Linked DNA regions of Coturnix japonica. The protein of the gene in region 1 interacts with the protein of each later gene in a biochemical or structural test. Links are inferred from orthologs where the notes say so. Each region holds a gene or a part of one and is shown in the gene's direction. Other genes may lie near its edges.

What was found.
Region 2: the proteins of UBC (region 1) and STAM2 form a complex in vitro, tested with the Homo sapiens proteins (11 studies listed by BioGRID and IntAct, with this or other methods). The link is inferred for Coturnix japonica from reciprocal best matches to the Homo sapiens genes UBC and STAM2.
Region 3: the proteins of UBC (region 1) and ANKRD13D form a complex in vitro, tested with the Homo sapiens proteins (4 studies listed by BioGRID). The link is inferred for Coturnix japonica from reciprocal best matches to the Homo sapiens genes UBC and ANKRD13D.

Annotation. Positions count from the first base shown.
Region 1 is NC_029534.1:5,348,719-5,352,230, forward strand, and holds UBC (polyubiquitin-C), read left to right. Parts: upstream 1-712; 5' UTR 713-873; intron 874-934; exon of another isoform or gene 935-1,059; intron 1,060-1,609; 5' UTR 1,610-1,615; coding exon 1,616-2,989; 3' UTR 2,990-3,131; downstream 3,132-3,512.
Region 2 is NC_029522.1:30,557,315-30,561,036, forward strand, and holds part of STAM2 (signal transducing adapter molecule 2), read left to right. Parts: intron 1-1,440; coding exon 1,441-1,525; intron 1,526-1,625; exon of another isoform or gene 1,626-2,626; coding exon of another isoform or gene 2,627-2,733; intron 2,734-2,861; coding exon 2,862-2,937; intron 2,938-3,148; coding exon 3,149-3,244; intron 3,245-3,722.
Region 3 is NC_029520.1:144,931-148,752, forward strand, and holds the start of ANKRD13D (ankyrin repeat domain-containing protein 13D), read left to right. Parts: upstream 1-1,540; 5' UTR 1,541-1,562; coding exon 1,563-2,036; intron 2,037-2,414; coding exon 2,415-2,550; intron 2,551-2,621; coding exon 2,622-2,746; intron 2,747-3,104; coding exon 3,105-3,150; intron 3,151-3,234; coding exon 3,235-3,378; intron 3,379-3,521; coding exon 3,522-3,711; intron 3,712-3,787; coding exon 3,788-3,822. Other genes in the region: GRK2 (beta-adrenergic receptor kinase 1), read left to right, coding at 1-28, 100-262, 370-506, 573-686, 786-947. UniProt on the Homo sapiens protein: Ubiquitin-binding protein that specifically recognizes and binds 'Lys-63'-linked ubiquitin. Does not bind 'Lys-48'-linked ubiquitin.

The DNA of each region.
Region 1 (3,512 bases):
GCTGGGAAGATTTATGTCCTTTTTACTGTAAACCAAGTGCTGAGCAGTCACAGGCCTTGCTAAAAGAAGTGAAAGCTCTCTTTTTAACTGGGGGAAATACAGCCCTGTGTTCAGTCCTGCTATTCACACACACGTTCGTGCTTCCTAAGCAGAGGATTTACCAGCAAGTTCATCTGTGTTCACCGAGCAGTAAATGAAACAGCAGAGAAACCTTCCTGCTTTCTGCATGCTCTGGTTATGATATAAGAGCTGTTCTGAAAGGTATAATGAGCTTTAATGAACACAAAACATGCCGCCACGTCGGCTCAAAGCAGGAAGCTGCTGTGTGACCTGTTCAGTGCTTCCTGTTCTGAAAGCAGCAGTGGGCCTGCTGTGATTAAGGGGTATTTTTGCCCCCTTTCTCCTTGTCAGACCCTTCCCTAAGCAAATAACAGGCAAAAAGATGCGGCCTAAACACAACGTCCCCATGGGCGCGGGGCCTGCCCGGCCTCTCCCTGCCCCCACTCTACGGATCTGCGCATGCGCACACCCCCCCACCCCACCGAAATCTGCCCCCGCAGAGCAGGGCCGCCCTAGCAACAGCGCTGACCTCACCGCGCACCAATCAGAACGCTGCAACGCTGGAATCTTCCAGAGCTTTCTTTACAACGGATCTTTCCTTAACAACCAATCAGCAGCCACCTTTCTTACTGCTGCGCCAATCAGCGCCGATCTTGCCACCGTTGGGATTAGAACGTTTCATTAGGCCGTTTCACCGCAGCTCCAGATCCATCCGCGCCCTCAGAACTTTTGGGATTTTGAAGGGTCTCCTCTCTCTACCGAGGACATCACGGACCCCATTACTCCTGGAGGAGGGATTGGAGCGGTAGAGAGGTGAGTATTGCTGGTACCGGGGGGGGGTTCGTTTGGGACTACTTTGAGAGGCGGAGGGATACGTCAGCGCTTTGAGGGCGGGGACTGTGCGGCGCAAGGAGCATAAATAGGGGCGGCGCTGCGTCACAGCGCAGAACACAGCGACTGGGATCGGGATTGCATTGATCGGAGCTCAGGGCCGGAGACGTGAGTTGTGTGGGGGGAGCGCTGAGGGGGGGGAGAGAAGGGACGGTGGTTTTTTGTTTTCAAGGCAGAAGGGGTTGGAGTGAGTCCGCTTGGGGTTGTATTTGTGAGGGGAGGTGGTTGTGGACGGTCTAATCCGGCCTAAGGGCGCTTGAAGAACGGTGCGAGGGGGGGGGGGGGGCAGGGGAAGCTTGTGGCTGAGGAAGGTGGGGTGTTATAAAGATGGCGGAGCGCGGCGCTGTGCGGCCCGGAAGCGGGAGCTGAGTCAGCGCGGCTGCAGCCGTTGTGCCAGTGTGAGAGCACGGGGGGGTGCCCTGGAGTTAAAGGAAGGGGGGTGCTGGGCTCGGCCAGCACAGGGCATTCAGAATTATAGGGTCCTACCTCAAGGAAGAGGTGGGGAACAGGAACAACAGGGTTAGTTATAGCTTATTGAAATCCTAAATGATGTAACGTAATGCAAATTAGTAAGTTGTTCTTTTTTTTCTCGTTTGTAAGGTGTATGTGGACTTAAAGTGCTTTTTAGCTAAGGCTAAAATTTCTGTATGTTTTTCAGGTAAACATGCAGATCTTTGTGAAGACCCTGACTGGCAAGACCATCACCCTTGAGGTTGAGCCCAGTGACACCATCGAGAATGTGAAGGCCAAGATCCAAGACAAGGAAGGCATTCCTCCCGATCAGCAGAGGCTGATCTTTGCTGGCAAGCAGCTGGAAGACGGGCGCACCCTGTCTGACTACAACATTCAGAAAGAGTCCACTCTGCACCTGGTGCTGCGCCTCAGGGGAGGGATGCAGATCTTTGTGAAGACCTTGACTGGCAAGACCATCACCCTTGAGGTTGAGCCCAGCGATACCATTGAGAATGTGAAGGCCAAGATCCAGGATAAAGAAGGCATTCCTCCCGATCAGCAGAGGTTGATCTTCGCTGGCAAGCAGCTCGAAGACGGGCGCACCCTGTCTGACTACAACATCCAGAAGGAGTCCACCCTGCATCTTGTGCTGCGTCTGAGGGGAGGGATGCAGATCTTCGTGAAAACCCTGACTGGCAAGACCATCACCCTTGAGGTTGAACCCAGTGACACCATCGAGAACGTGAAGGCCAAGATCCAAGACAAAGAGGGCATTCCTCCCGATCAGCAGAGGCTGATCTTCGCTGGCAAGCAGCTGGAAGATGGGCGCACCCTGTCTGACTACAACATCCAGAAAGAGTCCACCCTGCATCTTGTGCTGCGCCTCAGGGGAGGGATGCAGATCTTTGTGAAGACCCTGACTGGCAAGACCATCACCCTTGAGGTTGAGCCCAGTGACACCATCGAGAACGTGAAGGCCAAGATCCAAGACAAAGAAGGCATTCCTCCTGATCAGCAGAGGCTGATCTTTGCTGGCAAGCAGCTGGAAGACGGGCGCACCCTGTCTGACTACAACATCCAGAAGGAGTCCACCCTGCATCTTGTGCTGCGCCTCAGGGGTGGGATGCAGATCTTTGTGAAGACCCTGACTGGCAAGACCATCACCCTTGAGGTTGAGCCCAGCGATACCATTGAGAACGTGAAGGCTAAGATCCAAGATAAGGAAGGCATTCCTCCCGATCAGCAGAGGTTGATCTTCGCTGGCAAGCAGCTCGAAGATGGCCGTACCCTGTCTGACTACAACATCCAGAAAGAGTCCACCCTGCACCTGGTGCTGCGCCTCAGGGGTGGGATGCAGATCTTTGTGAAGACCCTCACTGGTAAGACCATCACCCTTGAGGTTGAGCCCAGTGACACCATTGAAAATGTGAAGGCCAAGATCCAAGACAAAGAAGGCATTCCTCCCGATCAGCAGAGGCTGATCTTTGCTGGCAAGCAGCTGGAAGATGGGCGCACCCTGTCTGACTACAACATCCAGAAGGAGTCCACCCTGCACCTGGTGCTGCGCCTCAGGGGTGGCTATTAGTTGTTGTCAGCAGTCTTGTCGAGCAAGATGCACAGCACTTGTGTTTGCACTGTAGTCTTTCTGATGTCTTAAATTAAACGCAAGCTTAAGTAACTGCTGATCTGTATGTTGAAATGCTAATAAAGTTTTCTGTTGCACATTACGTTCTGTTGTCTGTCTCAGTTCAAGCTAGTAAACCCAGTATATATAAATGACACGTTCCTTTTGGCTTTCTTCCATGGTGGTTTAAGCATCTTTATGTGGGTTGTGGAGGTATTTGAGGGTGAATCCTAACATGGATTAAAGTCTTAAGTCTAAGCACTAGTACTGTGTCACTAAATCTTGCTAGAATTTAACGTGATTCTGTATTTTCAGAAAGGATGCAGTGTTCCTGTAAGGACTTCAGAAGCTGCTGTCCATCATTAAGGCTGTAGGACTAAGGTAGTGGGAGTGGGTTGTACACTGCACTGTGTTAGAATGGGTGGTGCTGAGGTTCCATTACCTCACTTAGGTGTGACTTCTCAGTGTCCTTGGTGCAGTTTTT
Region 2 (3,722 bases), on another chromosome or scaffold:
CAGATTTTTATTTTTTTTTTAAAAGGAAATTGCACCTTAAACTGTATAAAATTGCAGGTGCTCATTTCGTTTCAAGAATGAGCAATGAATGTTGTGGTACTGACCTAAAAATATCAATGTACCTACAAGAAAATTCAACAACGGTGTCTTTCCAGGATAAGTACTTTAAGGTTAGTGCTGCAGGAACGTGCTTTCAGCACAGTATTTGCTTTCCTTAAATAGTTATTGTAGACTGTAAGGATAATGTACGGCCAAAATTGCACATTTCTATTCTCTCCTCTTTGGCCTGCTCTTCCATCTGTAATAAAAGGCTTCCAGGGGCACTGCTGTGCTGGTGTTTGCTTTGTGGAAGCCGTTCTGCTGCCAAGGATTGCTGCAACTTTTGACTGTAAAACTGTAGTGTTTTACAGTTTACAGCAACTCCTCATCAGAGGAGCTGCTTAATTGCACACCCAGAGATGGGTTTGTCCTGAGGTAGCATTGCTGTCAGCAAGCCTTGTCATTTGGAGACTGCTTCTATCACAGAACGCCATCACATTAATAGCGAAGGTCCATTACGTTCTGCTTTAGTCTGCTAATAGCCTTTAACGTACTCAGTCCCAAAGGGACTTTGTGGGTTCTCAGGCTGAGACAGATGTTAAAGTAGCGATTAAAGTACTTTCTTGATTTGTTTATGAAGTTCATTCTGATGGAATTAATATAGGACATAAAAGCTTCTTCCTTTGAATTTGGTCAAAATATTAAAAGAGCGTGGTAAAATTAACTCTTAATGCAGCGAATGGGGTGCATGAAATATTTCCTGAGTAATTCTGATCCTATCGTAATATTAACCTGGCATGAAGATAACATGATGAACTTAAAGGGAGAGCACAAATAAATAACATTAAGCTTTATCGGTTCGTGTATTGATTAAAATGCTGTAAGTATTGAGTAGAATTACACTTTTTTGGAAGGGTGGTTTGGTTTTTATTGGCTGCTTCTGGGACCTTTATAACCCTTTATAACCCTTCCATTTCATTTCTCGTGACATTTGTTGTGATGTTTGGATGCCCTGAGAATCTCACAAGCTGTTCTAATGACAAATCTTTTCCTTTAGAGACTTTAAGAGATTTATCTGGTTCACTTGGAACACCCATGTGGAATACGTTGTGAGTGCCAAGATGAGAAGACCTTGAGCAAGCTCTGAATTAGGGCTCTGACCTGAACCTGGGCTAACTGAACCAACTGAGCAGAAGCAGTTTTATGTTCTTTTTTCAATAGCTTTACACTTAGAGTTGTTTTGTTTTTCAGATCTTTTAACTACTGAATGCATTTATTATTCCAGTACCGCTCTTCCTATGTGAAAACACACGCATATCACTTTATAAGATACCAAGTAGCAGCACTAATCTCAGTATCTTCTGTGTGGATTATGCTTAATCAATCTTCTTTTCTTTATAGAAAAGGCTACAAATGAACACAACACCAGTGAGGACTGGGGTCTCATAATGGACATATGTGACAAAGTTGGAAGCACTCCTAATGGGTGAGCTGTACTCGGCATCGTGACGTGTGATTTCATGTTGGTGTGGATAATACTGCTTCAAAAGTAACACATCAAAACGCTCATCATAATCAGCTACATAGAAAGCACCACAGCTGTGACACTTCTGTGAGCCCTACAGATGTGTGTGGTTTGCTTTAAAGTTCTTGGAATGAAATACTCCAGCAGGACTTCCAGTGGAGCAACTGGTAGATGCTGAATGTGTTCCAGTTTTAGGAAGTTTTGCCTAGCAGACCAAATTATTCGTATTTATTAATCTTGCATGTGTTTTGCAAAGCAACTGTGCCAATAGGAAGAAGTGAACTAGATTCTTTGTGGGGGAGAAAAAAAATACGTAGGGAGTTGGTTATTTATGATTGGGAATTTGTCTGTTCATTAGGAAGAGTGGGATTGATGGAGGAGGAAAAAGGAGTAAAATTTGGGATCAGGACTCAATCAGTTTACATTCAGTGGTTGTATTGACACAAAAGTGGAAATTCGGTGATCTTATAATTGATGAAAGTGAAGGAGATCTTTTGAGTTATAACATGTAGATTCTGTAGTTATCTTGAACTGGTACATATCTTGAATTCATAAGTGATGGTAGATTTGTGTTCTTGTAATTTAGGTGTAATATTTCAGGTTACTACATTAAGTTCCTTATGCATTCTAGAAAGAAAGATATATTGGCTACCCTTAAACGAGTACATACTTTAACAATGAGTTTGTTGATTTTGTTATGGTCATGAATTACGAACAAATGTACTCAATATTAGAACTACACTTAAGCTTCTCCAGCCATGTGCAAGTAATCAGCAAGTAACTCAGCACACCAGGACTGCAATGATGGACCAGGGTAGCTGGTACTGAGGCCAACACATCCATCCAGTGGAGCATTTGGAGGTTTTCTTTCCCCTTTGGAACAGGTTTCATCAATTCTGAACTGAATATCCACAATGGCAGTGGTGCATGTGTTTCTATGGCACCTGCTGCTGGCTCTGACCCTGTGGCTCCTTGTGAGTTTGGAGTGCATGTGTTGTGCACAGAGGAGCTTCTAGCACAGCTCCTTCTGACAGCAGAACTGTGACCAATTCTGTCAGTATTATGGATATCAATGTAGAATGCCAGCATAATAATGGAGTCTTCCAATCCAGTGCACTTTTAAGAACAAGTGATGCGTTAAGTATTCTTCCAGACTTGTTCTGGGAAAAGTATGGGTTAGGTTATGGTTTTTTTTGGTTTTTTTTCTGCAGAGCCAGTTTTGTTTGCTTACAGGACATGAGTATCTGGTAAAATTTGTTCTATAAAGTCATTTGTCTCTAATACTTTCTTCTTTTAGGGCAAAGGATTGCCTTAAAGCCATCATGAAGAGAGTAAATCATAAAGTTCCCCATGTAGCTCTGCAAGCGCTTACAGTGAGTAGCCTATTACTACCTTCCAGAACTTCTATATTTCTCCATGTAATGTAGCTATGAATTGTGTGCTGATCACTTAATAAGTTTCTGTATATCTTCAGTAGACGTCAGTGGGAGCGCTCTGAACAAAGGGTGGAATTTAATTTTTCTATGTGCTTTTGTTTTGGATTATTGTTGTCCTACATTTTCATAACTGTGTTTCTGTTGTCAGCTTCTAGGAGCCTGTGTATCAAACTGTGGAAGGATATTTCACTTAGAAGTTTGTTCTCGTGATTTTGCTAGCGAGGCTCGAGGTATAATAAATAAGGTAATTCTTTATAACTTCACATAGTGGGGTAGAATTATTTTTATCTCTGCTCTGCTTTCTCTCAGCATAACAATGAATTTGCAAAACAGACGTTTGAGAACTGAATGAGAAGGTAACCAAGAAAGGAAGACCGAAATGGTTGCAGTCATGCAGCTGATGGCATCTAAATGTGGATGCAATGTATTGAATAAGCAGAAGCAGTTTTCCCATAATTACTGCTCCACTTGAAGACAAAAATGGCTAAGGAAGATAGTTTTCAAGTATATGGGAGGCCTGGAAGCATCAGAGGTTGAGCAAAGCAATTAATGAAACTAATAAAATTGCCAGGAAGCAAAATGAGTTCACAGCTCTTCTGTTTCTTGCTTTCTGTGGAAAAATAGGTCTTGAAGTCCTCCCCTTTATTCTCGTTAGCTGCAGTCTATTCTGAAATAGAACATTGACCTTCATGGACTAACAGCACTTGTGAATGTAAAAACAA
Region 3 (3,822 bases), on another chromosome or scaffold:
TGATGAGGAGGACACGAAGGGCATCAAGGTAGCAGGCTGGGGGCTGGCACCGGGCAGTGGCTTGGCATGGGGCAGGCCTTGATCCCACCTCCCCACCAGTTGCTGGAGAGTGACCAGGAGCTGTACCGCAACTTCCCACTCACTATCTCGGAGCGCTGGCAGCAGGAGGTGACTGAGACCGTCTTTGACACCGTCAATGCAGACACAGACAAGCAGGAGGCGCGCAAGAAAGCCAAGAACAAGCAGCTGGGCCACGAGGAGGGTGAGTGGGGCCAGGTGTCCCCTGCCCCATCCCTGGTGTCGGCCGGCACCGCACAGCGGTGGCAGTGCCTGGCACTGAACCTTTCTCCTGTGTTGCGGGGGCCACAGACTACGCCATGGGCAAGGACTGCATCGTACATGGGTACATGTCCAAGCTGGGCAACCCCTTTCTGACCCAGTGGCAGCGCCGCTACTTCTACCTCTTCCCCAACCGGCTGGAGTGGCGTGGGGAAGGCGAGTCACCGGTAAGGCGGGCAAGGGGGGGATGTGGGGTTCATCTATTGAGGCTTGGGCTGAGCCCATCCTCTCAGCAGTCCCTGCTCACCATGGAGGAGATTGACTCAGTGGAGGAGACTCAGGTGAAGGAGCGCAAGTGCATCCTGCTCCGCATCCGTGGCGGCAAGCAGTTCGTGCTGCAGTGTGATGTGAGTGTGCCACGGGCCCTTGGGGGGCCACACTAATCCACTGTATGGCAGGATGGTGAGTCGGGGGAGCTCTGCTCTGAGCCATGTGCTTCCCCACAGAGCGACCCCGAGCTGGTGCAGTGGCAGAAGGAGCTGCGGGATGCCCAGCGCCAGGCCCAGCAGCTGCTGCAGCGGGTGCCACGCATGCAGAACAAGCCACGCTCACCTGTGGTGGAGCTCAGCAAAGTGCCCTTCCTGCAGCGCTCTGCCAATGGGCTCTGACCCCCTGCCCTGCCTCCCCCCGCCCTTCCCACCCTACCATTAATTTATTGGGTTGGGTTCCACGTACCCCCACTCCTTGGTGTCCTTGAGCAGAGCTCCAGGAGGACGCCTGGTGCCAGTGCCAGCCCCCTGCCCATGGAAGGGCACATCCATGGCATCACCGTCTGGAGCGGAGCTGGTGCTGAACGTGCAGCACCACTCCCTGCTCCCGCTCCGGCTCAGATGAAGGCAGTCCCGTGTCCCCACCTGCTGTCCTGCCCCCAGACCACCGCCCCCCTTCACCACCCACGTGTGCCAAACGGGGCAGCAGCGGCTCCCTGTGCCGCACGTGCCCCAGCCCGGCTGTGCCCGTCTGTGGGTGCCAAGTCCCCTGTGTGAATAACAGTGTGTGTGTGTGTGTGTGTGTGTGTGTGTGTGTGTGCGCGCCCGGGGGGCCCCCCTGTAAATACTGTGCCATGGGCCCCCTGCCCCCTGAGCCAGCGGGTGATGCGGGAAGAGGCAGCTGGGGAGGAGAAGTGGGGACGACCCCCGACTCCGCCTGCTGTGCCCGCTGGCATCTGTAAATAGTAGCGTGGGGAGGAGCGGCGGGCAGAGCACGGTGCGAGTGAGGGATGGATGAGCGGAAACGTGAGAATGCCTAAAAAAAACACACACACACAAAAAAAAGAAGGGAAACAAACAAACAAAAAAGCAGTTTTTTTTATAATAAAAATGTGGAAAACCACAGTCAGGCTCCGGAGTCTGCGGGGCGGCACCGGGACGAGGAGAGTGGGGAGGACATGGCGAGCGCCCGGTGCCGTGGGGGCGCTGGGGGGTTACCCGGTGCCGGCCCCGCCCCGCGCCGCCGCGCTGCGCTGCGCTGCGCTGCACCGCGCCACCGCCACCCCCGCGCGCAGCCATTGCGGGCAGGCGCGGAGCTGCTGCTGGGCCCCCGTGCGCTGTACGGCCCGGACCGGCCCGGCCCGGATCCCGGGGACATGGTGCGGGAATGGCCCGCGCCGCAGACACCTTCCCGCTGCACCGCCTCGTGTGGCACAACCGGCACCAGGCGCTGGACAGTGCGCTGCGCTCCGGCACGGTGCGCGCCGGGTGCGGGGGGGGGCGCGGGCACGGCACCGGGCATGGCACGGCGGGGGATGCGGGGCAGCGGCGGTACGGGGACACGGAGGAACCGGGGAGGTGCTGGGGAGATGGGGGGACGTGGGGTCTTGGGAGCGCTGGGTGCAGGGAGAAGGGAGAGCGAGGGGGAGGAGATGTGGGGATCGGAGGAAGGCACTGGGGGCGCTGGGATGTGGTGCGGGGGTGGAGGGATGGGGAGGATTTGGGTGACAGGGAGAAGTAGGGGGTGCTGAGGGACAGGAGGGTTCGGAGATGGGGGCTGCGGGGCTGGGGTGAAGGCGTGGGAGAGGGGGCACGCGGCTGGCACCGGCCGGGGGGGTGGCCCGGGTGACGGTGCGCGTGCCCCAGCACGACGTGGAGCTGACGGACCCCCGAGGACGCACCCCGCTGCACCTGGCCACCACGCTGGGCCACCTGGAGTCGGTGCGGGTGCTGCTGCGGCACAACGCCAACGTGGGCCGGGAGAACGCCAACGGCTGGACGGGTGTGTGCGCGGGTTGGGGTGCGGGGATGGTGGTGGCGGCGCCCGGCTGATGGCAGCTCCCCGCCCCGCAGTGCTGCAGGAGGCGGTGAGCACCGGGGATCCCGAGATAGTGCAGCTGGTGCTCCAGTACCGCGACTACCAGCGGGCAACGCGGCGGCTTGCCGGCATCCCCGAGCTGCTCAGCAAGCTGCGCCGGGTATGGCCGGGCGTCCGAGGCAGTGGGTGGGCACCTGTGGCCCTGGATAACCCCAGGGTGGGGGCACACCTGACACCGGGCACCTCCATCTCCAAGCACCCGCAGCACCGGGTACCCCCAGCACCGGGTGTCTCCATCACTGGGTGCACCCAACATGAGCACCCTCAGATATGGACTTCCACCATGGGAATTAGAGGGTGCAGCTGGAGAGACCCCGAGACCCCATCCCCCCCCAGGACTCCCTGTTTTTTCCCCTCAGTCCCCCTTCCCAAGCTCCCCAAGGGGCCCCACGGGCTTCCCTGCATCCCAGCAGGGACCTCCACACCATAGCCTTCTGTGACCCCTCTGTCTCCTCCAGGCCTCTGACTTCTACGTGGAGATGAAGTGGGAATTTACCAGCTGGGGTGAGCGGGGACAAGGATCGGGACAAGGATGGGGGTGGGGATGTCACCCCCTGTCACACCACGGATGGGTGTTGCTGCCTGCAGTGCCCCTCGTGTCCAAGGTGTGCCCCAGTGATGTGTACCGTGTCTGGAAGCGGGGTGAGAGCCTGCGGGTGGACACCACGCTGCTGGGCTTCGAGCACATGACGTGGCAGCGGGGCCGCCGCAGCTACATCTTCAAGGGAGAAGGTTTGGCTCTGGCACCCTGGAAAAACTCACACGGATCCCAGATCTCCCTTAGAGGCCCCGGGTGCCCCTGGATGCAGCATCCCCAGGGCCAGGGGCTGCCTGCATGCTGCAGTGCTGAGTGCTGACTCCATCCTCTCATGCAGAGGAGGGAGCGGTGGTGATGGAGGTGGACCACGACAAGCAGGTGGTGTACACTGAGACGCTGGCACTGGCCCTGCACGAGCCAGACCTGCTGCTGGCAGCCATGCAGCCCTCGGAGGAGCATGTGGCTGGGCGGCTGACGTCGCCCATCGTCTCCACGCACCTGGACACCAGGAACATCGCCTTTGAGCGGTGTGTGCCACGGGGCCCATGGGGCTGGAGGGCCACTGGGCACAGGGCTGGTGCCACTCTCCGCTTGTACACACAGGAACAAGTCAGGGATCTGGGGATGGCGCTCAGAGA